7 linked regions of the Macaca fascicularis genome follow. The main gene of each other region encodes a partner of the protein of the gene in region 4 in a complex. Links are inferred from orthologs where the notes say so. Each region holds a gene or a part of one and is shown on either strand. Other genes may lie near its edges. The genes, in order: SART1, LSM2, LSM6, USP39, LSM7, PPIH and PRPF6.

Region 1 (4,016 bases), on a different chromosome or scaffold from region 4:
CACTCTAAGGTCTCTTCTCCTGAGATACCTGCTGGTTGATCTACCACCTAAACGCCAGCCTGTCACCTGCTGCCACCCCTAATCCCCCGCAAGGCTGGCTCTTCTGTGTGACTCAAGTCTCAGCTGAACTAGTACCTTGGAAAGGTCTTCCCCGCACTCCCCCGTCTAAGATCCCAACCCCAGCACATTATATTGGCCTACTGAGTGCCCAGCTCCTGTCACCATCAGAAATTACCGTTCCTGCGTTCACCAGGTCACTGCTGCTCCCTAAGCTCTCCCCCACACACTCTAGAAAGCCACTTCTCTGAGTCCAGGGCCCCGTGGCTGTCCTGTTCACCAATGACCTTCTCGGCCCAAGAACAATGCACTACTCACAGCAGGCATTCAACAAACATGCACAGGAAGAGAGAGGCCAGGAAAGGATCCCCTACTAAAGCAGGCATCTAAAAACTTTTGCAAAACATGACTTTTAAACAGAAAACATGACTTTAACCAGGGCTGGTCGCAGTGGCTCACACCTGTAATCTTAGCATTTTTGGAGGCCGAGGCAGGCAGATCATGAGGTCAGGAGTTGGAGACCAGCCTGGCCAACACGGTGAAACCCCGTCTCTACTAAAAATACAAAAATTAGCCGGGTGTGGTGGCGGGTGCCTGTAATCCCAGCCACTCAGGAGGCTAAGGAATGAGAATCACTTGAACCAGGGAGGCGGAGGCTGCAGTGAGCCGAGGCCACGCCATTGCACTCCAGCCTGGGCGACAGAGCAAAACACTTGTCTCAAAAAAAAACAAAACCCAGAAAACAAAAAACAAATGGAAAAGAGGCTTCAGACAGGAATGTGGCTGTTGCCTATGACACATGTGCTCGTGAGGACAGGTGACTGCTGACGCACTGGTAGCCCCAGGCCTGCCCATGCCCAGCCTCACCTTCTCGCCACTGTCTCGCAGCTGCTGCAGCTGCTGTAACTGTCGCAGCCGGCGTCCCTTCTCCAGCTGCTTCTGCAGCTCCAGCTCCGCCTCGTCCTCCTCCAGCACCTGCGGGGACCCCGGCTGTGGAGCTCCACCTTCCTCTGGGGGATACACAGGGGATGCCTGCTCAGACAATCTCCTCCAACCCAGGGCTCCTGTCCCTGCCCCCTCCCACCTCCTGGCCAGGCTCTCACCCTCATCACTGATGTCCATGTTCTCCACTCGGGTGTCATCCGACGGCAGGGGCTGAGGCACGGGCTCCTTCTCCTCCTCCACCTCAGACACTCGGCGGCGACCCCGTCCCCGCAGTCTGAGGGAAGGAGGCCTCTCTGGTGAGCACCGGCCCCCGGGACACCCCAGCCCAGCCCTCTCACCCTACCATGGTGTCCAAGCCCACCTGGAACCAAAGTCCCCATCCTGAGTCTGGTCCCCGAGAGGCAACAGGTCATCCGCCCGCACTACGACCTCCTTCTCCTTCTTGCGGATTTTCCTCACCCTCCGCTTGGTCCTTCTAAAGGCCACCTGAGGGGAAGAGGGAGGCGTGGGGCGGGGCGGGGAAAGGCAGGCCACCACAAGCCCGCGAGGATGAACACTTCTTTGGTGTTCTTCTGTGCTAGCCAGTGTCCTGAGCACTTCTCACACATGAGCAACACGTGGGGTGGTTACTATCTCCCTTCCACTGGTGATTAGGGAAACTGGGGCACAGAGAGGTTAAGTACCTTCCCCAAGGTCGCCCAGCTCCTAGGTGGGAAAGCCGGGCAGTCTGGCTCCAGAGTCCTGCTCTTACCCACTGAGCAAGACGCCTACTACACCAGCTGACTACCTCACGTTCACACAGTCACTCTGCGGACAGAATCCACGCACACCTTTCCAGTCACCCCTCACCCACACTGTCACTCATCCTCACAGCAACCTCAGGAGGTGGCTCCTATCACTGCCACTCCAGATGGGGCACCCCAGGCTCACAGTTAAATGGCTTACCCAAGGCACAAGCTGGCAGTATGGCAGAGCAGAAACACCAACTGGGGCCCATCTGGCTCAGCAGCCCTGACCCGTCAACACCTGGTGCCTCCCCAGGTTGCCATTTACTGCTTGCCCACGAGGCCAAGCGCTTTGTGAACAGAAATACTTGCCCTCTCTTCCCAGTGCCTGCGGGCAGCGCAGGAGCCCCAAGGGGAGGGAGAATCATGACCCCAAGTACAAGGCGCAAGAGGGCTCACCATCTCCTCGGGTGTGAGGTACTCAGAGGCCAGCCGGGGCCCCACCGTGCTCAGGGACTGAGCCTGCAGCCGCAGCTTGGCCCGGATCTCCTCCAACTCCCGTTCCCGCAGGCCATCGGCCATGCCCCCCTGCTCCAAGCGGAAGGAATGCGGCTGCTCCCCCTCAAGCTCTTCGTCGTACTTGGACAGGATAGAGCGAGGTTTTTGCTGCAAGGTAAGAGGTACAGGTTGGGACCCAGGGTGGCTCCTGAAAAGCCACTGAGCCACCACCTCCTCAGAGCCCCTATTCCCGACATTCTCCACCCCAGCCCCCGCCGCCCAGCCTGCTTGGGCCGTGCCTGCGCCAGGTCGTCCACACTCTCGTCCTCGGCATAAGGCAGGTAGTCGGGCTTCTTCTTCCGCAGCTCCACATTCTTCTCTGCCCGCTCCTTATCCACCAGGTTCACGTTCACCAGCACGTCCTCCTCCTCCTGCAGCACGCCTGCGGGCAGCACAGAGCAGTGGCCATTCACACTTGTCCACAACTCAGCAGAGGCTGTGCCCCGACCCAAGGCACCCAGCTCGCGTCACCTTTGTCCTTAAGGGTGAGGATCATGGTCTCCCCTTCTCGGAAGGAATCAATGGCATGCTCCACGGTGAGGCCCTGCAGGTCCCGGGCACTGTACAGGTCCTAACAGAAGAATCAGGCGAGTAAAGAACCTCCCTCCACGCGCCCAACCTTGGGATTCCAGCATCAAGGCCGCCAGTGTGCCCTGCACCACCCACCCCGGCTGCTGCAGCCTCACCTGCCGTCTCTGCCCGAACTCCTCCTCTACCAGAGTGCTGACACCAAACTCTTGGTCCATCTCCTCCAGTAACTTTGCCTATGGGACAGGGAGGGGTGACCTAGGACCTCAGGCCACTCAGCACCACCAGAAAACACTCAGGGCTCTACCAAGCGGAGTGCAAAAAGAGCAGGCCTTGCAGGAAAGTTGCTGAGAATCCAAAGCAGATGCTACCAACCACAGCCCATCCCCTCTCCGAACCCCGTCTCACCTCTCTGGGGTCGACCCCCTGCCTCAACGCCCAGTCAGGCCAGCAAAAGCACTGGGCAACCACCCCATGCTGCCCAGGTGCTCACCCTCTTCTCTGCCAGGTCTTTCTCCTTCTGCAGCTGCCGGCTCCTCTCGATCCAGGCTGCAGTGTCATCCAGCCAGGGATCATCCTCTCCTAGGGTCTTTATCTTCCTGAAGAGGGGAGAAAGTGATGCTCCAGGAGCCCAGCTCCTGCTCCCAACCCCACTCAAAAGGCAGCCAAGGATGGTGGCCTCCCCAGCCCTTCCCTTGCCTGCCCTGGCCAGGACCCCTCACCCCAGCTTTTGGTTCAGCAGGCGCTTCTCCTTGGCAGCCGCCAGCTTCTCCCGCAGCTCCTCTCGCTGTCGCAAGGCCATAGGATTGATGACATCGGCTGTCACGGGCTCCTCCTTGGTGCCCGCCTCTGGAAGGGGGGCCCAGACGTGAGGCTATGCCCGCCCATGGCTGGTGGGGAGAGGAGGGAGCCACTCACCCTGCCCCCTTCCAGCTCAGGGGGCCAGAAGGGGTCAGGACAGGAAGGAACAATCCTTCACCTCCCTGCTCCCACTTCGTCCCCACACTCCTGGCCAACCCATGCAGCACGACAGGACCCTCTGTGGCTTCCAAAGCTCCTCAAATTGTGCTTTAAAGAAAAACAACAGACCCACCCCCGCACAGCCCAGTTTGCAGCAAGCGTGCACATCTTCCAGTCCATCTAACAACACCTCACAGCCAGAGTGAGTATGCGAAGGCCACGGCTCTAACTCAGAAAACAAGC
Region 2 (4,602 bases), on a different chromosome or scaffold from region 4:
TAGCCTAGATGGTGAAACCCCTTCTCCACTAAAAATACAAGAATTAGCTAGGCATAGTGGTGGACGCCTGTAATCACAGCTACTCGGGAGGCTGAGGCAGAGAATTGCTTCAGCCCAGGAAGCGGAGGCTGCAGTGAGCCGAGATCGCGCCACTGCACTCCAGCGTAGGTGACAGAGACTCCATCTCAAAAAAAAAAAAAAAAAAGCCAGGCGCAGTGGCTCACGCCTGTAATCCCAGCACTTTGGGAGGCCGAGGCAGGCGGATCACAAGGTCAGGAGATCGAGACCATCCTGGCTAACACGGTGAAACCCCGTCTCTACTAAAAATACAAAAATTAGCCAGGTGTGGTGGCAGGCGCCTATAGTTCCAGCTGCTGGGGAGGCTGAGGCAGGAGAATGGCATGAACCCGGGAGGCAGAGCTTACAGTGAGCAGAGATCACACCACTGCATTCCAGCCTGGGCGACAGAGCGAGACTATCTCAAAAAAAAAAAAAGAAAAAAGAAAAAGAAAAAAGCTGGACATAATCATATTTCTGTTCTGTATCACTTACTAGTTTTGTAGACTTGAACAAGTGGTATAGCTGATCTAAGCCTCAGTTTCCTCATATGTATAACAGCAATAGTACATATTACTAAGGAGTGTTTGAGAAATCAATCAATAAATGTATTCAGAATAGTGCTTAGTCAATAGGTCTTCAGATATTATTTTTCTTTCCTTAAGCACCTATCATACAACTGGCCTATACTAGGTATTAGATACACAGTAGCATATCTAATACGTAGGTTTCACCATGTTGGCCAGGCTGGTCTCAATCTCTTGACCTTGTGATCCACCCACCTCAGCCTCCCAAAGTGCTGGGATTACAGGCATGAGCCACCATGCCCAGCCTATGGCCTGTTCTGTTTTTTTGTTTATTTTTTTGAGATGGAGTCTCGCTCTGGTCGCCCAGGCTGGAGTGCAGTGGTGCCATCTTGGCTCACTGCAAGCTCCACCTCCTGGGTTCATGCCATTCTCCTGCCTCAGCCTCCCAAGTAGCTGGAACTACAGGCGCCCGCCACCACACCAGGCTAATTTTTTGTATTTTTAGTAGAGACGGGGTTTCACCATGTTAGGCAGGATGGTCTCAATCTCCTGACCTCGTGATCCGCCCATCTCGGCCTCCGAAAGTGCTGGGATTACAGGCGTGAGCCACTGCGCCTGGCCTGGCCTGTTCTTTTTTGAGACAGTCTTCCTCTGTCACCCAGGCTGGAGTAAAGTGGTACAATCATGGCTCACTGCAGCCTCGACCTCCTGGGTTCAAGTGATCCTCCCACCTCAGTCTCCCGAATAGCTGGGACTACAGGCATGTAAACCACATCTGGCTAATCTTTTATAGAAATGGTTCTATGTTGCCCAGGCTAGTCTCGACATCCTGGACTCAAGTGATCCTCCTGCCTCAGCCTCCCAAAGTGCTGAGATTACAGGTGTGAGCCACCATGGCCAGCCTAGTACTTACTCTTTATTTATTTTTTTTGAGACAGAGTCTCACTCTGTCACCCAGGCTGGAGTGCAGTGGCGTAATCTCAGCTCACTGCAACCTCTGCCACCCAGGTTCAAGCGATTTTCCTGCCTCAGCCTCCCAAGTAGCTGGGATTACAGGCACCTGCCACCATGCCTGGCTAATTTTTGTATTTTTAGTAGAGACGGGGTTTCACCATCTTGGCCAGACTGGTCTTGAACTCCTGACCTCGTGATTCACCCACCTCGGCCTCCCAAAGTGCTGGGATTACAGGCATGAGCCACACGTCCAGCCCATGAGCCACCACACCTGACCAGTATTTACTCTTTAAACTGTATATTGCTTTGTATTGTTTTCCAATACACAATACAATCCCCAAGCTTATCTGTAAATTTAAGGCACAAGGCATTTATTTATTGTTAAATTTTAAAATTTGTCTTAGAGATGGGGTCTTGCTCTATTGCCCTGGCTAGAGTGCAATGGAGTAATCACTGCTCACTGCAGCCTCAAACTCCTGGGCTCAAGCAATCCTCCCTCCTCAGTCTCCCAAAGTGCTGGGATTACAGGCGTGAGCCACTGCACCCCACCCATTTATTTCTTTTGTTTGTTTGAGACAGAGCCTCGCTCTGTCACCCAGGCTGGAGTGCAGTGGCGTGATCTGGGCTCACTGCAAGCTCTGCCTCCCAGGTTCACGCCATTCTCCTGCCTCAGCCTCCAAAGTAGCTGGGACTACAGGCGCCTGCCACCATGCCTGGCTAATTTTTTGTATTTTTAGTAGAGACAGGGTTTCACCGTGTTAGCCAGGATGGTCTTGATCTCCTGACCTCGTGATCCGCCCACCTCAGCCTCCCAAAGTGCTGAGATTACAGGCGTGAGCCACCGCACCCGGCCATTTATTTCTTCTGTACATATTCCACCTCACCCAGCCCTCAAATATTTCTCAAATTAAAGAGGTTCCAGGGCCCTGGGCACACCCACCCCCAACAGACTTGTTGGAACAGGTACCTACCTCAGGTCATTCTTGAGTTCCACGACCACATCCTTGCCCACAAGGGACTTGAAAAAAGAATAGAAGAGCTATTGGGAGAGAGGGGGAAAACCATCATGTGGGAAGGAACATGGTAGGGAGGAGTGTCCCTTGACAGTATTACCAAATACCGGTATTGTGAACCCCATTGCATCCCTAACAGTTCTCAAAATTTCACAGGAAAGAATAATTGGTTGAGAGGTGAAAGGCTGGAGCCCAAATTATTCTGCACACTGCATTGAGCCCATCACTTAAAGTCCCAGAGAGGCTCTGCCCTGCATACCTCGGCCTCCCCAGTGTGCTCTCTCAATCGACCACCTTTCTCGGGTACCTGCCCACTCCTTTCAATGAATTACAGAAAACATCCCACCCGCACCCTGCCGAAGCTTGCCTGGCAGAGAAGTGCTCTAAGGTCTAACTTTTCCGTCTCCCGCTGTCCCCACTGAATCTCTCTCAGGGTTGGGGTTTTTTTCCTCATCATGGAAAAAAAAATCCCATTTGCTCTCAGGTGTCTCCTCAACGAACTTGAGGAACAGGACTAACGATGAAGATAAAAACTCCGGACCTAACTCCAGCCTAGGGGGACAAAGGCCAGACCCCCCTGCCCCAACCGTCCGAGATCCCCGAGGGCGACCCCTTTTGACGTCACGGTACCCACCATGGTGCTGGCGCAGCGGGCAGCGGGCCGGAGCGAGAAAAGAGCCGGATGCTGAGACCAGGTCTGGGAGAACCGAAGCGCGAGCCCGCGCGTGGGGCGAGGCGGGACCGCGCAGGCGCAGCGGGAAGGGACGCAGAACCCTCCAAGCGCTGAAGGGTAAAGCGCGGCCGACTTGCGGCTGGGGAGCGCAAGCTGGGTAAAACCGAGGGGAGGAGGAAGCCGGGAAAGGGGCGGGGTTTCCTTCGTTCCGACTTCTTCCAGGGCCGGCCGGCTCCCATTGCGCAGGCGCGGACCCTAGCCTGGGCTGCTAGGCGGGTGGAGGCACTCGGCGTCTGAGCTCAAAAGGTTTTGTTTTCCATAACCCTGCCGTCCACAGCGTGATGTGTTCGTGCCCTCTACACACATCCTATCGAGAATTGTGGGGAGTTTGTGAAGATTATGAAGTGTGCACTTTTCTATATTTGTTAAAGTAAAAACATAAAATTCAAAAAATAAAATTAAAAAATGTTTTTAATCTTAAATTCAGCTGATAAAAAAAAAAAAGGCCGAGGGCGGTGGCTCACGCCTTCAATCCCAGCACTCTGAGAGGCCAAGGTGGATGGATTGTGTGAGGTCAGGAGTTCGAGACCAGGCTAGCCAACATGGTGAAGTCCCGTCTTCACTAAAAATACAAAAAAAATTAGCCAGGCGTGGTCGCGGGCGCCTGTAATCCCAGCTACTCGGGAGGCTGAGGAAGGAGAATTGCGTGAACCCGGGAGGTGGAGGTTGCAGGGAGCCAAGATGATGCCACTGCACTGCAGCCTGGGCGACAGAGCGAGACTCGTCTCAAAAAAAAAAAAAAAATTGGCCGGGCGCGGTGGCTCACGCCTGTAATCCCAGCACTTTGGGAGGCCGAGACGGGCGGATCACGAGGTCAGGAGATCGAGACCATCCTGGCTAACACGGTGAAACCCCGTCTCTACTAAAAAATACAAAAAAATAGCCGGGCGAGGTGGCGGGTGCCTGTAGTCCCAGCTACTCGGGAGGCTGAGGCAGGAGAATGGCGTGAACCCGGGAGGCGGAGCTTGCAGTGAGCTGAGATCCCGCCACCGCACTCCAGCCTGGGTGACAGAGAGAGACTCCGTCTTTAAAAAAAAAAAAAAAAAAAAAAATTGACCGGGCGCAGTGGCTGACGCCTATAATCCCGCACTTTGGGAGGCCAAGGCAAATGGATCACCTGAGGTCAGGAGTTCTAGACCAGCCTGGCCAACATGGCGAAATCCTGTCTCTACTAAAAACCCAAAAATTAGCCAGGTGTGGTGGCACGCGCCTGTAAACCCGGGAGGTATAAGTTGCAGTGAGTGGAGATCGTGCCATTGTACTCCAGCCTGGGCAACAACAGTGAAACTCTTGTCTCAAAACAACAACAACAACAAAA
Region 3 (4,531 bases), on a different chromosome or scaffold from region 4:
GGCTTTTGGGAACAGCTACACTTTTTATAAACTTGTTAGCTCATGAAATAATTCAGGATGCCCACCCCGTGTGTCAAACTGGGCCCTTACCCAGCTACTGCCCTTGGAGAAGGCTGCAGCTGCTCTGCAGATGAACTAGGCCCTTAAAACTCCTCATGGCTCCCTACCCACCACGCTAGTGTTAACAGCTCAATTAGGGCTCTGTAGGAAAGGGAAAGAAGTTTTAATCAAAATTTTATTTTATTTTTTTTAATAATTTAAACAACCAGTAAGGAATGTGCAATTTGATGTCTTGCAAAGAAAGTTTTTAGGAACAGGCCTTTTTATCCTGTTATGTTTGTACTTTGCAAGTAATTATTTGATTTAAACAGTCCTTTTCTTAAAATTTTTATTTATATTATATTTTATATTGCAAGAACTTCAAATACAGTCCTCTCAATAAATCAGTAACTGTTTGGTCTTTACCCAAACTGAGCTTTTATAGAAGGATATAAGGAAGTCTCTATTCTTTACCAAATCACATCCACTTGTTTTCTGTCCCTGATATCAATCAAAAGTTCATTTCTTCTGCCTTTAGCCAAAAGAAGGTTACAAGGGAGGAATTCTTTATCTCAGAAAAAAATTCTGCATCTTAGATTTTATAACACCTAATGGGGTTAAGGATCTGTGTTGGAAGATCTTATTGCTTTGTGTATAGCGTTACAAACCATAAATAAAATTAAAGTAAGTTTTCAGCTGATGAGAGTAAAGGAATCAAGTCTTGGGGTAACAGTTCTCTTTTTTTCCCCTTCCAATCCCATTAATAGAAAGTGTTGAGAATTCATGCAAAATTCCAAACCAAGTTCCCATAGTAGCACTTAAATAATGTCTGCACACCATTTCCAATTGGAACAAGTTTTTAATGTAACACAATTAATGTCATTATAATTCGGAGTTACTTGAGTGATTTTAATTATTTTTTAATCAACATTGCCATGGAAACAGTCTCTTGCTAAAATGGCTTAAGTCTTCACACATTTAATCAATATCCAGAGGTAGATTTAAAGACTTGAGGTGTTTTATTTATTTATTTGCTTTAAACTATTCAAGGACGTTTCTGGGTACACAGTGCCGTTACTTAAACAGTAAATTCCAGTTTCCTATGACTTCAAGTTATTTTTTACACTTCTGCAAATAAATCCTGGACAAAAGATCACTTCTAGTTTCCTGGATTTTTGTTTTTGTTTTATATTATATTTGTTTTGTATTCAGATTTCTGTCAGAGGAACTCCAGTGCACCAATTTTGCTACTAGACAAAACAGGATTCTCGGATTTGCGCGCTTCGGCGCTGACAGGCTTTTCGGCCCCAGCGGGCTGCCGTAGCAGAGAAGAGCAGTGATTGGCCGAGGCAGAAAAGTGCCGCTGCCTCGGCGGTTTCGCTTTTGGCTGCGATCATCCGCGGAGGCCGGACTCGTGGGGCGCCTGGAGTGAGGGTTCTGGATCCCGCCCGCGAGGTGAGCCGCACGGCTGCGCGGGCCGATGACGGGGCCGGGCGTAGCCCCGGGTTCGACGCCCCAGTGTTCAGTCGCGCTGTGGAGCGGCGGCTGCAGCTGCCCTAGGCCGGGCGAGGCAGCCCCGGAAAGGGCCTGAGGGGAACGGGCTGGGGCTCCGGGAAGGGACCGCTGAGTGGCAGCTTCCCGCGAAATGCCGCGTCCAAGCTCTCCGCGCACGGAATGGCCGGAGAGGTCTGATGGTGGGCGCCGGGACCGCCCTCAGCGAGGTGCTTAGACTGCGCAGAGAGTAGCGGCACCGTCCCGGCTCCCACCGAGTTGGCGTCCGAGACCAGTTCAGGTTGTTGAAGTTCCCCAGGGAGCCCCGAGGCTAATCCCAGGATTCGGCGGGAAAGCGGATCCCGAACCCAGGCCTAGGCTTCGCCAGTCTTCCAGGGCTTCAGGGAATTGCGAACCCTTCCCTACATCGGGGTGGCTGCGCCTGACCACAGGAATTAAGGACTCGACTCGCCTGTCTTACTGAGTTGTCAGGCCTAGGAACCCAATTGTATGGTCTTAAGTCCTATCGCCCGAGGTTTTCTGTGCGTTCGCGTGTCCGCGCGCGTGCATAGCAGGCGTTTTTAAGATGTGTAGCATTAGGATGAAGCGGATTACCCTACCCCACTGCTCTTAGTAATATGTGACTATTGTAGAAAATTGCAAACATGGAAGACTTTAGTGAAGAAATAGTATTCACAACCCTTTCACCTACAATCTTTTTCTCCTGTGTATGCTAGCTTCTACTTGAGCTAAGAGTGTACATGTTTAATCACTTAACAGTATAGTTTACCACTTCCATTTAAAAACTCTTCCTAAATATTATTCTAGTTTTGTATCTTCTTTTGATTGACTGTCCCTCATTGTGGATCGCAATGTAGGTCCCATAAATTATTCAGTCATTTCCCGATTGTGGGATATTATAGATTGTTTTTGAATTTTTGAATCTCTTAGCACCCCAGATAATACTTTGATAAACCTTTTCCCCCCTATTTTTTAGATTATTTCCTTGGACTAGATTCTCAGAAGTGAAATTATCAGATTAGATGCTTTCATCTGTAAGGCCTTTTTTAGGCCTTCGTACACATTGCTGCAGTGTTTTCCAAAAAAGTTTTTCAGGTGTTTGGCAATTTTACTTGCTTGAATATTGTACAGAAATCTTGAGAGGCTTATGTTTGTGGGTGTGTGTGTGTGTGTGTGTGTGTGTCACTGGAGTTAATGCGTTACTACCTGAATGTTAGGGCAGGAAGAGACTTAAGTGGTCATCTGGCATAACTCCCTTATTTTGCAGATGAGGAACCTGGGGCCATGAGAAGTGAAATGATGAGTTATCCAAGTCACACAGCTAATTAAGTAGCAGAGCTGGGATTAGAACTCAGGTTTCCTGCCTCCCAAGTGAGTACCCTGTGCTGCATCAGGCAGTCTCTCACTGAACTCTGGCATAGTAGATATTAGAATTTAAAAATTTGTTTACATCACCTGGATTATTCTCTCCTTTTAAAAGTGTACTAACAGATTAATGATCGGAGGGACCTGTAACACTGAGAAATTGGAAAGTGATTATTTTCATGGCCAAGACTAGAAATCCATTATTTAGAATGGCAACCCCTTCAAGATTTTGACAGTTGTTTTCAGGTTCCCTTTATGTTAGAATAAAACATCCCTGATTAATTATAATCTACACTCCATCATTTGGTTAGAATGTAGCTTTTGGTTATCATTTGCTGTACTTTGGAGATTTCTTTAAAACTCCTCACTTTAAAACCAAAGAACAACGTTGTTGGTGGTTTTTTTTTTTAGGGCTTATAGCGGAGATTCTCAGCTTCCATTGACATTTTGGGCTGGACAGTCCTTTGTTGTGGAGGGCGGTCCTGTTGTAAAATGTTTAGCAACATCCCTGGTCTCTACCCACTAGTATAGCAGTAGCACCACCTTCCTCAGTCTTGACAGTTCAGTGTCCCCAGATACTTCCAAATGTCCCTGAGCAGGGTGGGGTGGGGTTGGGGAAACTGCCCCTAGTTGAGAACCATTTGCTTAAATAAATTATCTGGAGAACTTCATAAAATGTAAAATACAGTGCTTTTACCTGAGTAGACTTCAGGAATCTGCATTTTAACAAGCATCTCTAGATTTGGAAACAGCTGGTTCTTGAATGACAGAAAGGGTTGTTTTCTCCGTCTTTGGTGGTCCTAATAGAGATTACTTGGTTAGTATTTGTTGAAGTACGTGCATGATCCTACTAGTCACTGTATCCATAGTTTGGGTTGGTGGGGGCTGGACAGGGATTTTGCTTGGCACTGGCCTTGAATGTCTCTTCCACAGACTTGGGCAGTGTGCTTAGGTACCAGGGATACCAAGTGAGTAGGATATTTCCCCTGTCCCCAAGGAGCTTAAAACTCACCATGGGAGACCTGTCAGCAAATGGAAAAATTACAAAGCAGCCTGATAAGGACCATGACCGAGAGTTGAAAGAGGTGCTGAGTGGACTCACTTCGCCTTTGGGAGAGAGGGAGAGAAGTAGCGCCTGCTGCTCAGGAAGGAGGGATTGGTATGAAGCCTTCACAAGACAGCGAGGCACTCCACTGTGTCAGAAGGGAGGACTTGGAGAGCTGTTCTTCTCCGTGTCTGATCGCCTCCTCAGACACTGATCTGTTAGTCTAGTGCTGCAGTTACTTGGATTGTAATGTTTCCTTGCAAGTTTTTGCTTTTCAAATTTTTTTCACCCTAAACTGTAAATATGCTAGGAGTAGGTAAAAACTTACAGGTAAACATTGCCAAGTAATAAGGATTTTCATGTCTTCTGCCCAGTGGCATAACCCAAATCACATGAGATAGTTTTCTTTGCGTTTGTCCGTTGTATTTCTTTGAGGCTAATTTACAGCACTTTGTCATGTTAGGTATTTTTTTCCCCAGTGCTGCTACTCTCCGACTGGATTTCTCGCTGCCTCTATTGCGATTCCCCAAGATTTAACCAGAGAATCTTAACATATTCAGAAGGCAGCTG
Region 4 (4,016 bases):
ATAATTTTAGTAGAGACAGGGTTCCGCCATGTTGGCCAGGCTGGCTGGAACTCCTGACCTCAGGCAATCCGCCCGCCTTGGCCTCCCAAAGTGCTGGGATTACAGGGGTGAGCCACTGTGCCCAGCCTTCTGGGTGTCCTTCTCTTTCTCAGTGTTCCCGTCTTGATCTTACCTGAAGAACGGCGTTGGCATAGTCATTAGCCTTTATGTTATTCAGTCCCACAATACCCGGCAGGTAAGTGGTACCATCATATGCCCGGGACAATTTGGCTTGCTTGTCCAAGTTTGCAATTTGCTGCTTTGTGAAAGTGGGCTTCAACACATACTGCAAAGCAAAAGAAAATGCTAAGTTGTTTAAGAGCTGAGTTCACAAGAAATGTCTACAAACAACAGCAATTTCTACAAAAACAAAGAACACTTTGGCCATGAACATCCCACCACACACAGAAAAAGTCCCAATCAGTAGGTGTAAAGATTGAAGTAACACAGGGTAGATCCTCTCCCATGGCTAATCTACAAGGGGATCTCTGTGTCTAACCCAAAATCACTGAATCCCAGGTCTTTTCATAGACCTCAGATCTGGTCAACTCATGAAAACTGACTGCCAGAAACTATTAAGTTCCTAAAGGCAGTCTAAGTCTCAGATAGAACCTCCCGGGAGCAGCACATGTACCTAGCTTTGGAGCAGGAGAGTTTCCTCCATTCTGGGTGAGACTGAGGATCTCCACGAGTCCCTGGTACTGGAAGAGCAGGATCAGACTCTTCTCAGGCAGAGTTACCAGAGTCATTATGTCACAGACTGGACAGAGGTCATCCCAAACTCACTTTGAAACACTGAATTTAGCCCAGTTTCTCCCTCTATAAATACTGTCCATACTTTTTTTTTTAGACGGAGTTTCACTCTTGTTGCCCAGGCTGGAGTGCCATGGCACGATCTCGGTTCACTGCAACCTCCCACTCCCAGATTCAAGCAATTCTCCCTCCTCAGCCTCCCAAGTAGCTGGGATTACAGGCATGTGTCACCATGCCAGGGTAATTTTGTATTTTTAGTAGAAATGGGGTCTCATCATGTTGGTCAGGCTGGTCTCAAACTCCTGACCTCAAATGACCCACCTGCCTCCACCTCCCAAAGTGCTCAGATTACAGGCGTGAGCCTCCGCACCCAGCCTGTCCATAACTATTTTAATCTCAACTACTAATAATAGGCTTATAAAATTTTTACAAGTAGAAAAAGCAATATTTCAAAGACTAAATACCACCATTTCCTTAAAAATAAACAGAACATGACCAACCTGGGCAACACAGTGAGACCCCATCTCTACAAAAAATTTTAAAAATTTATCTGGCCATGATGGTAATGCCTATAGTCCTAGCTACTTGGGAGGCTGAGGTGGGAGGCTGAGGTAGGAGGATCACTTGAACCCATGAGGTCGAGGCTGCAGTGAGCTGTGATGGTGCCACCACACTCCAGCCTGGGCGACAGAGCAAGACTCCGTCTAAAAAACAAAAACAAAACAGAGCACTTGGCACCATGAATATGCCCCAAGTGCTGAAAAGGAAAATAATAATCAAAAACCCAACACTAATCAAAGCCCATGCTCAGCACAATGAGTGTCTCTTGGTACAGGCCACAAACTAGAGCCCAGAGATGAGACATCTGTGGCTGGATGCTCTGGTCCCATCATATGTTAAAAGCAGCCAGAAGCTGGTGTGCAGCTTGGTAAATATTGTCCTACACCAGGACCAATTCATATCCCTGCTTCAAAGTGTGGAAGAATAATTTCACAAAAACACTTTAAACCCCATCAGAATACACCCATATTTCTTCAGTCCTAGCCCTCAATGTTACAAGTAGAAATGACAGTTAAGTTATAGACTACAGGCTGCAATTATGAATTCTGACCTTACTCAGTTTCCCCAGTTCTTCCCAAAAGGGAAAGCAGCCTCTCGATGCCCAAAAGGACTGAGATTCTTCCCTGTCCTCAGATGGGGCAGTCCCCTGGGAACCCTGGGATGGCTCATTAAAGAATGGACCCCAAACCAACCCTCTTAGACACACACCGTGATATCCTCCAATGAGGAATCGATGATCTCATAGTTGTCTGGAAGGCAGTAAAACTTGAGGGTATGGAGGTTGAGGAAAACATGGTGGCTAAATTGGACACTGTGAATGTAGGCGTGAGACTTCAAACCTCGGCCTGTAGGGAAGGGTGAAAGGCTGTAATAGAAGGGCAGATACTAGAAGGCACAGATCAGGTTTGCTTTTCCTTTCATTATTTTCTACCGGAACATGTTAACATCCGCGAAAAACAAATATTATGTCATTCATAAAATGAATCCTCCACATGAAGTTCTCTCATAAAAAAATTAGCAAGAAAGACTAGCACATTAGTTACTTCTTTCTCTAGATGGCATAAGACATTGACTGGGGAAACAAAGTTCACTATTTTTTGCAAATATTTGTAAAATACATATGATATATAAAATATAGATAATCTCTATATATATAACTATATATTCACATACATAGTTTCCTATATATATGAAACTAGAAACATCCATGCATATGTGTGTGCATAAATACACATATACATAAATATATACATATCCTATGACAGTCCATCATCACTCAGTCCTGAATTTCCAAATGCCCATATTCCGGACAATGCTGTATCTATGTAACTTTTCTCATATTGCTACTCCTTTCTAGAATCTCTCTCCCCTAACCATTCAAACTCCTATGTCCTGCCAATTCAAGTCCCACCTCCACTCCTTCATGAACTCAACATCAACACTCCAGCTAACATTGATTTTTGCACATTTTAACTCCTACTGTACTTATTTTTACTCAGTGCCACGGTCCAGCAGTAATCTTTATGGTCTAACAGAACTCGCTCGTTGTTTCACATGTCAACCTTGACTCCTTAGAAGCTCCTAATAAGAGCAAAGAATATAGTTTTTATCTCTTTTTTTGAGACAGGGTTGCCGGGCGCGGTGGCTCACGCCTGTAATCCCAGCACTTTGGGAGGCCGAGGCGGGCGGATCACAAGGTCAGGAGATCGAGACCACGGTGAAACCCCGTCTCTACTAAAAATACAAAAAATTAGCCGGGCGCGGTTGTGGGCGCCTGTAGTCCCAGCTACTCGGGAGGCTGAGGCAGGAGAATGGCATGAACCCGGGAGGCGGAGCTTGCAGTGAGCCGAGATCGCGCCACTGCACTCCAGCCTGGGCGACAGAGCGAGACTCCGTCTCAAAAAAAAAAAAAAAAAAAAAGAGACAGGGTCTTGCTATGTTAGCCAGGTGGATCTTGAACTCTTGCCTTTAAACAATTCTCCTCCTCAGCCTTCCAAAATGCTAGGATTACACGTGTAAGCCACTGTGCCCAGTTGTTTTTACCTCATTTGAATCCTCCACTATACTATGTACATGGCATCTGCTTGGTGTGAATGAGTTGAAATGATACATTTTCAGAAAAAAAAAAAAAAAAAAAGGTATAAAAAAAGTCCTTTGAGCTAAAGGATACTTCAAAAAAAAAAAATTTGTAGCCTGGGTAACATAATAAGGCCTTGTCTCCACAAAAAAAATAAAATAAAATATTTAGCCAGATAGCAGGGTGCAATGGCTCACATCTATAATCCCAGCACTTTGGGAGGTACAGGCAGGCACACTGCTTGAGCTCAGGAGTTTCAAGACTAGCCTGGGCAACAGAGTACAATCCCATCTTTTAAAAAAAATGTGGCTGTGTGCCGTGGCTCACGCCTGTAATCCCAGCACTTTGGGAGGCCAAAAAGTGTGGATCACTTAAGGTCAGGAGTCCAAGACCAGCCTGGCCAATATGGTGAAACCCTGTCTCTACTAAAAAATACTAAAATTAGCCAGGTGTGGTGGTGCATGCCTGTAATCCCAACTACTCGGGAGGCTGAGGCAGAAGAATCGCTTGAACTTGGGAGTCAGAGGCTGCAGTGAGCCAAGATCACGTCACTGCACTGCAGCCTGGGTGACACAGTGAGATTCCA
Region 5 (4,492 bases), on a different chromosome or scaffold from region 4:
CTTGCGGGGAGCGGGCAAGAGAGATGCTCTGAGACCCGGGTGCAAAGGCTTTGGGGGCTGAGGCGGTTGCTGTGGCTTCTCTCTCCACGCTGCCTGCCCCACCCCCCAAGCCTCGCCGCCTTAGGTCACAACTTGGCACCTTGGGTTAGGGCTCTCTGACCCGGTGGTGACCTCTGCCATCTGATCCTGCTCCGCAGTGTCTGGTGACACTGAGAAGGATGAAGGGGGAGCTGTGTGTCCTCAGCAGAGGCCAGCCCACCCTCCCTGTCCGGGACTCCCGTCCTCTCCCCCCAGGCTCCTCCAGCCCAGGCCCAGGAGCGGTTCCGCCTCTGCGCTCACTGAGGGGCGTCCCTCAGCCACCCGCTCCCTACCCTCCTTCTTACCCCTGTCATCTTTCAGGTGCTTCCTCCAGACACCAACCCACACCCCTTAGGGTGCTGCCCTCTGCATGCCCCCCACCAATCTCAGGAAGCAGGCACCCCAGGCATTATTCTGCCCGCCTATCTTCTCCCAAGGCAGGGCTGTGAGCCTGTCCATGGCCGTTCTGCGCTGCGAACTACGACCAGAGGCGAAAGTGGCCCACCGCTCATCTCTGTATGCCAAAGTTTCACTGGCCCACCAGCACACTCGCCCGCTCAGGCACTGACCAGGGCGGCTCTCCTGCTCTGCGGGCATAGCTCACTGGTTGTGACAAGAGACCATCTGGGCTGCAAAGCTGAAGATATTTGCTGTCTGGCCTTCTACAGAGAAGGTCTGCCCACCTGCATACAGGCTTTAGCTCCTACCTCCACGGCTCCCTCTCTCTGCGCTCAAGTCCCTCCCCTGCAAAATGAAACCTGTCACCTATGAGATGGGGTCAGACGCAACGGTTCAGGTCCTTGGCACCAGCCTGACCAGTGAGCCAGCCCTCCTCACAGGGACAGATGTGAGCACTGAGGTAGGTAGGTCTCTAACCAAGGTTCCCCTCCCCGGGGTGTGGGCTCGGGCCTGTGACTCTGAGGGGACATGACGTCACTCCTGCACTTAGGTTATGCAGCTGTTTAAGCCCCTGAACCAGCTGACTTTGAGCCAATCTAGAGGGAAACACCCTGGGTGAGCCTGACCATATCAGGTGAGTCCTTCAGGGAGCAAACCCTTTCTCTGCTGTGTGTGTGCGTGTGTGTGATTTATTTATTTTTAGACGGAGTCTCGCTCTGTCTCCCAGACTGGAGTGCAGTGGCGCGATCTCAGCTCACTGCAACCTCTGCCTCCTGGGTTCAAGAGATTCTCCTGCCTCAGCCTCCTGAGTTGTTGGGATTACAGGTGTGCACCACCACGCCCAGCTAATTTTTTTGTATTTTTCGTAGAGATGGGGTTTCACGAAACCCCATGTTGGTCAGGCTGGTCTCGATCTCCTGATCATATGATCCGCCTGCCTCAGCCTCCCAAAGTGCTGGGGTTACAGGCGTGAGTCCCTGCGTCCCGCCAAGAGCTGCAGCATGCATCACCAGCCCACTGCCCATGCGAATGCTTCCTGCCCTCTGAGAGCTCGCCCTGTCTTCACTAGATTCCATGGAAGAGTTGCAGGCAGAGGCAAGCATCAGGTTAACATGCACGAAACCGCAAACGGTGACAGGTGCTACCAGGATCCTAGAACGATGGGGGGCCTGACGCCAGGGTCAGGGAGGGCTTCCCAGAGCAAGCACCTGTGGAACTTGTGCTTCTGCCGCCCTTTGCAGTCATAATCAGAAGTATGGATTCGGATTTTACTCCAAAACAACCGGGAGCCTCAGAGGTTTTCAGCAGGGAGCAAGAAGCCTCCATTTCTTTTTCATTAGGTGCCTCTGGCCGCTGAGTGGAGACTGACCTTAGTAGCTGTGATTCCCAATCACAGCTTGGGGGTCGGGGGGCGATCCTATCCCCAGAGAACACTAAGCAATGTCTGAGGCTATTTAGGTTGTCACAACTTGGTGGAGGCCAGGGATGCTGCTCAGCACCCTGCAGTGCCCCAGGACGGCCCCACTCCAGAGAATCCGGCCCCAAATGTGTCCACACTGCTGTGCGGGAAAGACCTTGACTTAGAGGGAGGAAGAGGAGAAGCCGGGAGATCTGTGGGGATCTGGGGCAGTCCTTGGACACACAGGACTGCTCTGGAGGCCAAGCCGGAAATCCCAATACCGGCTGCGCCACTGTGACTTTGGATTACGTTTGTTTCCCGCTCCTTGCCCCAGTTTCCCCGCCTGCAACATGGCCATACCAGTTCCTACCTCCCGGCGTAATTCGGAAGCCTGCACAAGGTAGTCGGCGTCAAGCGTGTAAAGAGGCGCCTCTGCGGCGGCTCACGCCTGTCATCCCAGCACTTTGGGAGGCCGAGACGGGCGAATCACTTGAGGTCAGAAGCTTGAGACCAGCCTGGCCAACATGGTGAAACCCCGTCTCTACTAGAAATACAAAAATTAGCCAGGAGTGGTGGCGCCTGTAGCCCCAGCCACGCAGGAGGCTGAGGCAGGAGAATCGCTTGAACCCGGGAGGCGGAGGTTGCAGTGAGCTGAGATCGCACCACTTGCACTCCAGACTGGGCGACGGAGCGAGACTGCGTCTCAAAATAAATACATAAATAAAAATAAATAAAAGAGGCGCCTCTGCATGCATCCTCATCACCTCTGTTGCTGACTTTATTTTAAAATTTTAAAGGGGGGGTGCCAACGGCGGGAGCCGCCTCACCTTCGCGTCCTCCCTGAAACTTCACCCGGATCGTCTTGTCGATGTACTTGGACAAGTCCAAGATGCTCTCCTTTTTCTTCTTCTCCTTATCCTGCGGGGAAAGCAGAGCGCATGAGGCCTGGAGCGCGGCCCGAGCCCCACGCCCCCCGGCTCCGGATTCTGCCGCGCGCTCACCGCCATCTTGTCGCGCCGTGAGGCTCTTCGCAGACACCGCCCCGTGCCCTGTGACCTCTCCCCTCCCCCCCACGCGCATGCGCGGCGCATGCGTGGCCCGGGGTCTCGGGGCGTTGCTGGGAAACATCTGCCGACGGTTGCGGCGGGCACCGGCCGAGATGGCGGCGGTGGCGGCGGCTGCGCTGGCGCGGCTTGTGGCGGCCTTTCTGCTCCTCGCGGCCCAGGTGAGCGCGGCACCGGTCCCGACGGCACCGCAGGCTGCGGCCCTTCGGCCTCTCGGCCCCGAGGCTACGCGCAGGAACGACCCCTCTTGGCCCGTCTTGGGGGTCCAGCCTCGGGGATCCGCGGTCCCCTCGTTGTCGGCCGGCGGTGCCGGGGCCCGGCCGTGACCTTGCGGGGCTGTCCCCGGCTTCTCTCCCTTCCCCGCCTCGGAGGCCCTCCGCCGCTGCAGCGCCCCTCACTTCCCACCGGGCCTGAAGTTTGTGCCCCCTCCATCTCCCTGTTCTGCTTGTCCGTTTCGGGGTCTCCAGCCGCCGCGGGGGACGCCTCTCTCCCGCTCTGTGGCCTTGGGCAGGCGGCCGCCCACCCCGCTCCGAGCCTCAGTTTCCCTTTAGGCGGAATGGCCCGGTGCTAAGCTAACCTCACCCTAGGGGGTGCGGTGGGGGAACCCAGAGGCGTCCCGCGTGTCCCCCAGTGACTGGCCAGCATCCTGGAGCGGCCAAGAGCCCAGCCCTGCACTGGGGTCGTATTCCCGCTCCATCTTTTACTCCGTGACCTTGGACGAGGGAATTCCCTGCTTTGAGCGTCAGTTGCTCGTCTGGAGAAGGGGGGTCGACTATGGTGTGGATTCTGGAGATGCTACCCAGGGTGACCAGCGCCTAGGGACAGCACGCCTTCCTTATATTCATTGTGTATCCTTTGATGTAGAGTGTCAGGTTCTAGCGGGGACAGTCTACGAGATGGCACTGTCGTAACTGCATCTTTTATTTTCTTAATTCCAAATCTTACCTCTTACCTGAGTTTGGTGGCTCAGGGAATGGAACCCGGAGCAGCCTCACAAATGCGGCCCTTAACCTTCACTCCTCTCTCAGAGTTCTCTTAAGGCGTCGCTGCCACTGGGCTCCTTCTTAGTCTCCACTCTTCCAGCCCCACCGCCATCCCCCTGCTGTGGCTGCCTTTGTCCCCCACATCCCTAGTCCATCCTCGACACAGCAGGAGTGACCCTTTCAAAGTATGTCAGTCCATGTCGCATCTGGATGAACGTGCCGTCCAGTTGTGACCTGGCGCCAGGGAAGCCTGCAGCTCATTGCAGGAGCTTCGTTGTCTAGTCTTTTCTCTTACCCTGAAATGCCCGTGGTCTCTGCAAGGCTGGAGGGCCCCCTCAGAAGCTTTCTGCGAACCGCACCTCCACCCCCAGCTGCCCTGTCAGCCCCCTGGACTCCCCCTATTCTGAGGCCAGGGACCTAGAGACCCCAGACATTTGGAAGGAGGAGGAAAGCCAAAGGTGGAAGAAAGATAGAAAGATCACAGAACGCTGTGGAGGGAGGGACTCAGTTTGCCTGGGAAGGCTTTTCTGAAGCAGGAGTGTTTTTTTTGTTTGTTTGTTTGTTTTTTT
Region 6 (4,016 bases), on a different chromosome or scaffold from region 4:
ATCCTCCCCTGGATCAATCAACTATGATCAGGAGGGTGGTATCATGTTGTACATACAGACTGCCAAGAGCTCACCCACCCTCTTAGAGAGTTTGGAGGAATGGGTGGTAGTCACTTAAGTGGGTACTTTTATATGACTGCAGGCATGACAGTCTTCGGGAATGGCAACGATTGAGTATGTGATCACCTTGTTGCTATTCCCTACTTTGTCTGCATCTTAATTGATCTTTCTAGGGGCCCAGCTGTGACCTGTTTTATCCAGTCTATAAAATGCTCCAGCCAGTTTTTGTGGGCTGTAGGTACCTTGTATAAGGCTTGCTCTGATGGCAGGGTGGGGTCAAATAGGTGCAGCTTCCAAGATGACCAACAAGAGTAAGAGTAGACTTTAAGGATGTCAGGCTTTAGGTGCGACAGTGTTCTTCCTCTGGTTTCCAGGGACCCAACACTCCAAGTCACTAATATTTCCCTTCTGTCTGCTCAGGGAGATGGTACTGGAGTTGCCAGTATTTACCGGGGGCCATTTGCCGATGAAAATTTTAAACTTAGACACTCAGCCCCAGGCCTGCTTTCCATGGTAAGTGAGGTCCAATCAAGGTTTTGCGTTACAGCCAGCTGGTTTCTGGGCCCCTCTTGAGGCCCAATGCTGTGTTTTGGCATGATGAAAGCAAATGCTTTCTTTCTCTTGCTTGCCCCAGGACTCACCTTTACCACCTCTTTTCTCAGTCTGGTTTGATTGAGAAAACCGGTAGGTACATGGTGGATTACAGGTGTGAGCCTGTATCACGTCTGTAATCCTAGCACTTTGGGAGGCTGAGGCGGGTGGATAACCCGAGGTCAGGAGTTCGAGACCAGCCTGGCCAACATGGTGAAACCCATCTCTACTAAAAATACAAAAAATTAGCCAGGTGTGGTGGTGGGTGCCTGTAATCCCAGCTACTTGGGAGGCTGAGGTAGGAGAATCGCTTGAACCCAAGAAGGGGAGATTGCAGTGAGCCAAGATCGTGCCACTGCACTCCAGCCTGGGCAACAAGAGCGAAACTCCGTCTTAAAAAAAAGAAAAGAAAGAAAAGAAAACCAGTAGGTAAGACCCTCTAGCAGGCTAGCAGGCTGGGGAACTAAAATATGAACCAGGGTTTGTGTCTAGGCATTCAGCCCTACTGCTCAGAATGTAAAAAGCTGTGCTTTCAAGACATATTCATAGCTGGGCCTGGTGGCTCACACCTGTAATCCCAGCACTTTGGGAGGCCAAGGCAAGAGGATTGCTTGAGGTTGAGGTCAGGAGTTTGAAACCAGTATGGGTAACATAGTGAAACTTAAGTCTCTACTAAAAAAAGAAAAAAAAAATTAGCCAGGTATAGTGACACACACCTGGAGTCCCACCTACTAGGGAGGCTGAGGTGGGAGGATTGCTTGAGCCCAGGAATTTGAGTCTGCAGTGAGCCATATCCTGTTCATCTCTGGATCCTTGGATCCTAGCTTAGGCCCTGGCTCATAATAGGTGCTAAGTTAGATTTACTGAAAAAAACATGGAGGGATTAGGGTTACAAGCTCTTTTGGGAATCTTACCCATCAGGTAACATGGCCAAGGAAACTTACTGCAGGTATATTTGGTTTCCATCAGGCAAATAGTGGTCCGAGTACAAATGGCTGTCAGTTCTTTATCACCTGCTCTAAGTGCGATTGGCTGGATGGGAAGCATGTGGTGTTTGGTAAGTCCTACTCATGTCCCATGGTCCAGGCCCCATTCACCGCGGATGGAACCTCCAGAGGAGTTAGTTCTCAGACTCTTACCAAGAATGCTCAACTTGGATAACTGCTTAGGTGGTAACAGAGAAAACAGAAATGGTGGGGAGGTGGGGAACATGTTTGGCTAGAGAACTAGAGGGAAGGACAAAAGGGCCATTTGATATAGTATGGAACCACTCAGGGGAAAAACCCAGTAGCTAGCACCAAAGAAATGCCATACAGGCAGCATGATATGGTGAGACTTTGCAGTCACTCAGATATAAGTGTGAGCCCTAACTCTACTTATTACCTATGACCTTGAGCAAGTCATTTCACCTCTACTGCATCTTAATTTCCTAAAGTTAGTAACAGAATCTAATGACATAATAGCTAAGAATGGGCTTTGGAAGCTGGAAAACGCTATGTAAACAAGAATAAAGTCCAGCTCACACTCTTCCTACAGGAAAAATCATCGATGGACTTCTAGTGATGAGAAAGATTGAGGTAAGTACTGCTTTGATTTTTCTCTTTCTCTCCCATTCTGGTCTGGTACTGTCTGACTAGCGTCCAGGAGCTAGAGAAGGGGGAATGAGCTCCAGTTTGTTAGGCCCAGTCTTCATTGCTTCAGGAAAAGGGAGGAGAGACCACCTAAGTTAGCCTGTCTGGTCAGCACTGAGGTTTGGCCCCTGACGACCCTGTTGCCTACTTGATAAAATTCTACTCCTCAGCATTGCATTCAAGGTCCTTCATGATTAGTCCCTGTCTACTTCTCCACGGCCCCTTCTCCTGCCACTGCCTCTTTCATGTTCCAGTCACATCAGGCTACTAGCTCTTCCCTAAATCTGCCATACACATCTCTGCCCCTTGCTCTTTCCTGCTCCTGAGCCTTTGTTCACACTGTTTCCTGTAGCTGGAATGCTCTTCTTTCCTTCCCTCCTGGTGGAATCCCATTCATCCTTCTAGGCACAGTTCAAATAATCCTCTTTTGTGAATCCTTCCCTGACCTCTTTAAGCAGCAATTTAGTTACCCGTCTACCCCTTATCCAACTCTCTCATAACTTTTTGTTATATTATCATAGGTTTGATGTTTTCTAAGTGTTTTGCATTTTCTCTTTGATACCTGTCTGCCAGGACATGGACAGTTTCTGAGTGCTGAGTCCTTAGCACAGGGGCTGGCAGGCATCAGTAAAAGTTTGATAAGGGAATGAGGAAGTGCCTGAGTGGATGAATGTCCATTGTGCTTTTTTTCCTAGAATGTTCCCACAGGCCCCAACAATAAGCCCAAGCTGCCTGTGGTGATCTCACAGTGTGGGGAGATGTAGTCCAAAGACTGAATCAGGTAAGTGTGTCTTTCTGCTATTAGGTTAGGAGTCAGACCTCAAAGAAGACAGCATGGTCTAGTGGAAAGATCTTTAGTCTTGAAGACATGAGATTGAGCCCAGTTCCTCTGTGTGTGACCTTGGAGTGGTCACTTTCCTTCTCTGAGCATGTGTCCTCATCTGTCAAATGGAAATACTGTAATACCTATCTCTCAGAGTCACTGTAAAAATCAAAAGAGAAAGGGTTGTAGGAGCACTGTACTTTTCTATCACTTTGTAATGTACAAAGTATCAATCTGAAAACTACTCAGGCAGTTTGTAACAGCACTTTCAGACTACAGTTCCATTCAGTAGTCCCCCTAGAAAGACCTGGCTCCAGGCCTGAGTAACTCTCTGCTGGGACCAGGCCAAGCAGCCAGGAGACACGCCTGTCATGCACCTCATCAGAACTGATACTGCAATTCCAGGCCTTGACTTCGTATTTGCCGGCCTCACAGGTGAATGCCTTGCATCTTCCAGCCTACATGGACTCATTTCTTACCCGTATTTGCCACTGCCTGCTCTGCGCTGGGCAGCATGCTCGCTGCAGAGAGCGGGGCAAAGAATTGAAAGGTGTCTCCTTTCAGGAGCTCATGGGAAGTAAGACATTCTCAGAGGTCATCACTAGTAATATGAGTGACACTGCCAAGTGTGAGAAGAGTACAAGGGGGAAATCCGAGGTGAGGGATAGTAATGTTTTTCTTTTTTTTAATTTCAAACCTGCAAAAAAGTTAGAAGAATACCTTGACCACCCATATATCTTCACTTAGATTCACCAGTGATTAACATTCTTGTTTTATTTCTTTGCCTTGACATTGGTTTTTTTCTTTCCCTTCTTGCCTCCTCATCCATTTCCATTGCCTCTCCTCCTCCCTCCTGCTCCTCTTCCCTCCCTCCATCCTTCCCTTCCTATTTTTCATCCTTCCTTCCCATC
Region 7 (4,016 bases), on a different chromosome or scaffold from region 4:
CTAATTTTTGTATTTTTTGGAAAGAAAGGGTATTTTTTTTTTTTTTTTTTTTTGAGACGGAGTCTCGCTCTGTCGCCCAGGCTGGAGTGCAGTGGCCGGATCTCGGCTCACTGCAAGCTCCGCCTCCCGGGTTCACGCCATTCTCCTGCCTCAGCCTCCCGAGTAGCTGGGACCACAGGCGCCCGCCACCTCACCCGGCTAGTTTTTTGTATTTTTTAGTAGAGACGGGGTTTCACCGGGTTAGCCAGGATGGTCTCGATCTTCTGACCTCGTGATCCGCCCGTCTCGGCCTCCTAAAGTGCTGGGATTACAGGCTTGAGCCACCGCACCCAGCCAGAAAGGGTATTAACCCTCTTGCCTAGGCTGGTCTCACACTCCTGAGATCAAGTAGTCCTCCCGCCTCAGCCTCCCAAAGTGCTGGGATTACAGATGTGAGCCACCATGAACCACCACGCCCAGCCTGAGGTATATTCCTTCTACACCCAGTTTTCTTAGAGTTTTTATCATAAAGGAATGTTGAATTTTATCAAATGCATTTTCAGAATCAATTAAAATGATCAGGCCGGGCGCAGTGGCTCATGCCTGTAATCCCAGCACTTTGGGAGACCAAGGCAGGCGGATCACGAGGTCAGGAGATCAAGACCATCCTGGCTAACACAGTGAAACCCCGTCTCTACTTAAAATACAAAAAATTAGCCGGGCGTGGTGGCGGGCACCTGTAGTCTTAGTTACTCAGGAAGCTGAAGCAGGAGAATCACCTGAACCCGGGAGGCAGAGGTTGCAGTGAGCTGAGATTGTGCCACTGCACTCCAGTCTGGGCAACAGAGCAAGACTCCGTCTCGAAAAAAAAAAAGAAATTGTATGGTTTTTCTCCTTCATTCTGTTGATAAAACGTATAACACTGATTCATCTGCATATGTTAAACCACCCTTGCACTTGTACCCCTGGGCAAAATGCCGCTTGGTCATGATGAACAATCTTTTTTTTTTTGAGATGGAGTCTTGCTCTTGTCTCCTAGGCTAGAGTGCAATGTCGTGATCTCGGCTCACTGCAACCTCCACCTCCCAGGTTCAAGCGATTCTCTTGCCTCAGCCTCCCAAGTAGCTGGGATTACAGGCGTGCGCCACCATGCCCGGCTAATTTTTATACTTTTAGTAGAGACGGGGTTTCACGAGGTTGGTCAGACTAGTCTTGAACTCCTGACCTCAGATGACCCAAGATCCGCCCACCTCAGCCTCCCAAAGTGCTAGAATTACGGGCATAAGCCACTGTGCCCAGCCAATGAACCCTCTTTCCAATGTCTTGTTGAATATGGTTTGCTAGTATTCTGCTGAGCATTTCTGCATCAGTGTTCATCAGGGATACTGACCTAACGTTTTCTTTTTTCAGTGTGTCTTTGTCTGGTTTTGGCATCAGGGTACTACTGGTTTTGTAGAATAAGTTTGGACGTATTCCCTCCTCTATTTTTCAGAATAGTTTGAGTAGAATTGATACTAGTTCTTCTTAAAATACTTGGTAAAATTCAGCGATGACGCAATCAGATTCTGGGATTTTCTCTGCTAGGACTCTTTCTATTACAGCTCTGATCTCACTACTTATTCGTCTGTTCAGGTTTGGGATTTCTTCATGGTTCAATCTTGGTAGCTTGTATGTGTCATTTGACATCTTTAATTCATTTGCAAATTACTCAACATATAAAAGATTAATCAACAGTCAGTGAGCCCTTTTCAAAGATGGTAACCCTGATGTATCATAAAAGTAATCCACAAAATTCTACTGATTTCTGGAAAATCTTAAGAGTTCTTAAGCTCTCCACTGCAGCCCCCAGCCCCTAAGGCTGTTCCGTAACAGCCCAGGGCTTATCCAAGCATGGCTACGACACACCAAGACCCTCAGGTGGCCTAAAAGCTGAGCAGACACACACATATACTATTGCAACGTTTCTCTGACTATAAAACAATTCAAAACAGCCGGGCGCAGCGGCTCACACCTGTAATTCCAGCACTTTGGGAGGTCGAGGCGGGCAGATCACGAGGTCAGGAGATCAAGACCACCCTGGCTAACACGGTGAAACTACGTCTCTACTAAAAATACAAAAATTAGCCGGGCGTGGTGGCGGCGCCTGTAGTCCCAGCTACTCAGGAGGCTGAGGCAGGAGAATGGCGTGAACCCGGGAGACAGAGCTTGCAGTGAGCTAAGATTGCGCCACTGCACTCCAGCCTGGGTGACAAAGCAAGACTCCATCTCAAAAAAAAAAAAAAAAAAGGCCGGGCACGGTGGCTCATGCCTGTAATCCCAGCATTTTGGGAGGCCGAGGCAGGCGGATCACGAGGCTGAGACAGGAGAATGGCGTGAACCCAGAAAGCGGAGCTTGCAGTGAGCCGAGATCACACCACTGTACTCCAGCCTGGGCGACAGAGCGAGACTCCATCTCTAATTAAAAAAAAAAAATTCAAAACTTTTTTTTTTTTTTTTTTTTTTTTTTGGAAACAGGGTCTCACTATGTCAACCAGGCTGGAATGCACTGACATGATCATGGCTCACTGCAGTTTCTACCTCCTGGGCTTAAACAGTCCTTCCACCTCAGCCACCCAAGTAGCTGGGACTACAGGTGTGTACCATTTGACTAATTTTTAAATTATTTGTAGAGATGAGGTCTCGCTATGTTGCCCACACTGGTCTCAAACCCCTGGGCTCTAGCTATCGTCCTACGTTGGCCTCCCAAAGTGATAGGATTACACACGTGAGCCACTGCGCCTGGCCTCAAAACTTTTTTTAAAGTTGGATAAACATCGTGAAAGGCAACAATCTCTTTTACCGTCTTTCTTTTCTTCTTTCATCCATCCTTTTATCCAGGGCTGCATAGATGGCATCCGCTTCCTCGTCATCTTTCTCATAGGGCCCGCTTGAGAAGAGGCTCCCAGCGTAGCCATTAAACTGAGAAGCAAACAACATGTGCAGAGAGGTCAGCTTTTCCTCCATCACCATCCCCACCAGCAGAAACAGAGAAGATCTCTACTTGTGAAATACTTGCTAAATTATTTTCTCCAGCCAACGAAGCCAAATTGAGGGACAGTCTACAATATAACTGGTGACTACTCTTCAAGTGTCAAGGGCATGAAAGACAGAGGAGCCGCTCCAACTGGAAGGTACCAAGGAGACATGACAAAATGCAACGGGGGTTCCTGGACTGAGCCTAAGTCAGAAAACGGACATTCGTGGAAACACATGAAATGCAAATACGACTGACAGATTAGTTAACAGTACTGTGTCAATGTTAACTCTTTCGTTTCAATAACTGCACTGAGGTCATGTAAGATGGGGAGAAGCTTGGTGAAAGATATGCAGAAACTTTTTTTTTTTTTTGGCACTATTTTTGCAAGTTCCTGCAAATTTAAAATTATTTCAAAACTAAATTTTTTGTTTGTTTGTTTTTGAGACGGAGTCTTACTCTGTTGCCCAGGCTGGAGTGCAGTGGCACGATCTCAGCTCACTGCAAGCTCCGCCTCCCAGGTTCACACCATTCTCCTGCCTCAGCCTCCCAAGCAGCTGGGACCACAGGCGCCCGCCACCATGCCCGGCTAATTTTTGTGTATTTTTAGTAGAGACAGGATTTCACCGTGTTAGCCAGGATGGTCTCGATCTCCTGACCTGGTAATCTGCCTGCCTCGGCCTCCCAAAGTGCTGGGATTATAGGTGTGGGCCACCATGCCTGGCCTCAAAACTAAAATTATTTTTTTAAATATTCCTCAGAGGAAAGGCGTCACATGTTAGAAGACAGTTAATCGATATTCAGTCAGCTGAGGTTTTTCTGTAGATGTCTTTTTAGAGGGCAAGCACTAAAGCCAAAAAAAGCAAATACTGTCACCAATTCCACTTTAAGTTTTTATCATTAAAGACTGGCAGCCAGGCGCGGTGGCTCAGACCTGTAATCCCAACACTATGGGAGGCCGAGGTGGGCAGATCACCTGAAGTCAGGAGTTCGAGACCAGCCTGACCAACATGGAGAAACCCTG

Evidence for each region.
Region 1: USP39 (region 4) and SART1 share a complex: the UniProt entries of both Homo sapiens proteins name them as parts of the U4/U6-U5 tri-snRNP complex. The link is inferred for Macaca fascicularis from reciprocal best matches to the Homo sapiens genes USP39 and SART1.
Region 2: USP39 (region 4) and LSM2 share a complex: the UniProt entries of both Homo sapiens proteins name them as parts of the U4/U6-U5 tri-snRNP complex. The link is inferred for Macaca fascicularis from reciprocal best matches to the Homo sapiens genes USP39 and LSM2.
Region 3: USP39 (region 4) and LSM6 share a complex: the UniProt entries of both Homo sapiens proteins name them as parts of the U4/U6-U5 tri-snRNP complex. The link is inferred for Macaca fascicularis from reciprocal best matches to the Homo sapiens genes USP39 and LSM6.
Region 5: USP39 (region 4) and LSM7 share a complex: the UniProt entries of both Homo sapiens proteins name them as parts of the U4/U6-U5 tri-snRNP complex. The link is inferred for Macaca fascicularis from reciprocal best matches to the Homo sapiens genes USP39 and LSM7.
Region 6: USP39 (region 4) and PPIH share a complex: the UniProt entries of both Homo sapiens proteins name them as parts of the U4/U6-U5 tri-snRNP complex. The link is inferred for Macaca fascicularis from reciprocal best matches to the Homo sapiens genes USP39 and PPIH.
Region 7: USP39 (region 4) and PRPF6 share a complex: the UniProt entries of both Homo sapiens proteins name them as parts of the U4/U6-U5 tri-snRNP complex. The link is inferred for Macaca fascicularis from reciprocal best matches to the Homo sapiens genes USP39 and PRPF6.

The regions. Positions count from the first base shown.
Region 1 is NC_088388.1:8,429,706-8,433,721, forward strand, and holds part of SART1 (U4/U6.U5 tri-snRNP-associated protein 1), read right to left. Parts: intron 3,704-4,016; exon of another isoform or gene 3,663-3,703; coding exon 3,536-3,662; intron 3,413-3,535; coding exon 3,307-3,412; intron 3,050-3,306; coding exon 2,972-3,049; intron 2,857-2,971; coding exon 2,757-2,856; intron 2,668-2,756; coding exon 2,525-2,667; intron 2,394-2,524; coding exon 2,187-2,393; intron 1,489-2,186; coding exon 1,364-1,488; intron 1,277-1,363; coding exon 1,161-1,276; intron 1,068-1,160; coding exon 925-1,067; intron 1-924. UniProt on the Homo sapiens protein: Plays a role in mRNA splicing as a component of the U4/U6-U5 tri-snRNP, one of the building blocks of the spliceosome. May also bind to DNA.
Region 2 is NC_088378.1:139,906,152-139,910,753, reverse strand, and holds the start of LSM2 (U6 snRNA-associated Sm-like protein LSm2), read right to left. Parts: upstream 3,172-4,602; 5' UTR 3,009-3,171; coding exon 2,919-3,008; intron 2,578-2,918; coding exon 2,510-2,577; intron 1-2,509. UniProt on the Homo sapiens protein: Plays a role in pre-mRNA splicing as component of the U4/U6-U5 tri-snRNP complex that is involved in spliceosome assembly, and as component of the precatalytic spliceosome (spliceosome B complex).
Region 3 is NC_088379.1:151,030,090-151,034,620, forward strand, and holds the start of LSM6 (U6 snRNA-associated Sm-like protein LSm6), read left to right. Parts: upstream 1-1,418; 5' UTR 1,419-1,494; intron 1,495-2,818; 5' UTR 2,819-2,922; intron 2,923-4,531. UniProt on the Homo sapiens protein: Plays a role in pre-mRNA splicing as component of the U4/U6-U5 tri-snRNP complex that is involved in spliceosome assembly, and as component of the precatalytic spliceosome (spliceosome B complex).
Region 4 is NC_088387.1:35,963,091-35,967,106, forward strand, and holds part of USP39 (ubiquitin carboxyl-terminal hydrolase 39), read right to left. Parts: intron 2,199-4,016; coding exon 2,062-2,198; intron 326-2,061; coding exon 173-325; intron 1-172.
Region 5 is NC_088393.1:2,988,025-2,992,516, forward strand, and holds the start of LSM7 (U6 snRNA-associated Sm-like protein LSm7), read right to left. Parts: upstream 2,916-4,492; 5' UTR 2,884-2,915; coding exon 2,878-2,883; intron 2,795-2,877; coding exon 2,704-2,794; intron 1-2,703. Other genes in the region: SPPL2B (signal peptide peptidase-like 2B), read left to right, coding at 3,036-3,101. UniProt on the Homo sapiens protein: Plays a role in pre-mRNA splicing as component of the U4/U6-U5 tri-snRNP complex that is involved in spliceosome assembly, and as component of the precatalytic spliceosome (spliceosome B complex).
Region 6 is NC_088375.1:192,203,489-192,207,504, reverse strand, and holds part of PPIH (peptidyl-prolyl cis-trans isomerase H), read left to right. Parts: intron 1-480; coding exon 481-573; intron 574-1,620; coding exon 1,621-1,708; intron 1,709-2,187; coding exon 2,188-2,228; intron 2,229-2,977; coding exon 2,978-3,046; 3' UTR 3,047-3,063; intron 3,064-4,016. UniProt on the Homo sapiens protein: PPIase that catalyzes the cis-trans isomerization of proline imidic peptide bonds in oligopeptides and may therefore assist protein folding. Participates in pre-mRNA splicing.
Region 7 is NC_088384.1:120,121,331-120,125,346, reverse strand, and holds part of PRPF6 (pre-mRNA-processing factor 6), read right to left. Parts: intron 2,938-4,016; coding exon 2,819-2,937; intron 1-2,818. UniProt on the Homo sapiens protein: Involved in pre-mRNA splicing as component of the U4/U6-U5 tri-snRNP complex, one of the building blocks of the spliceosome.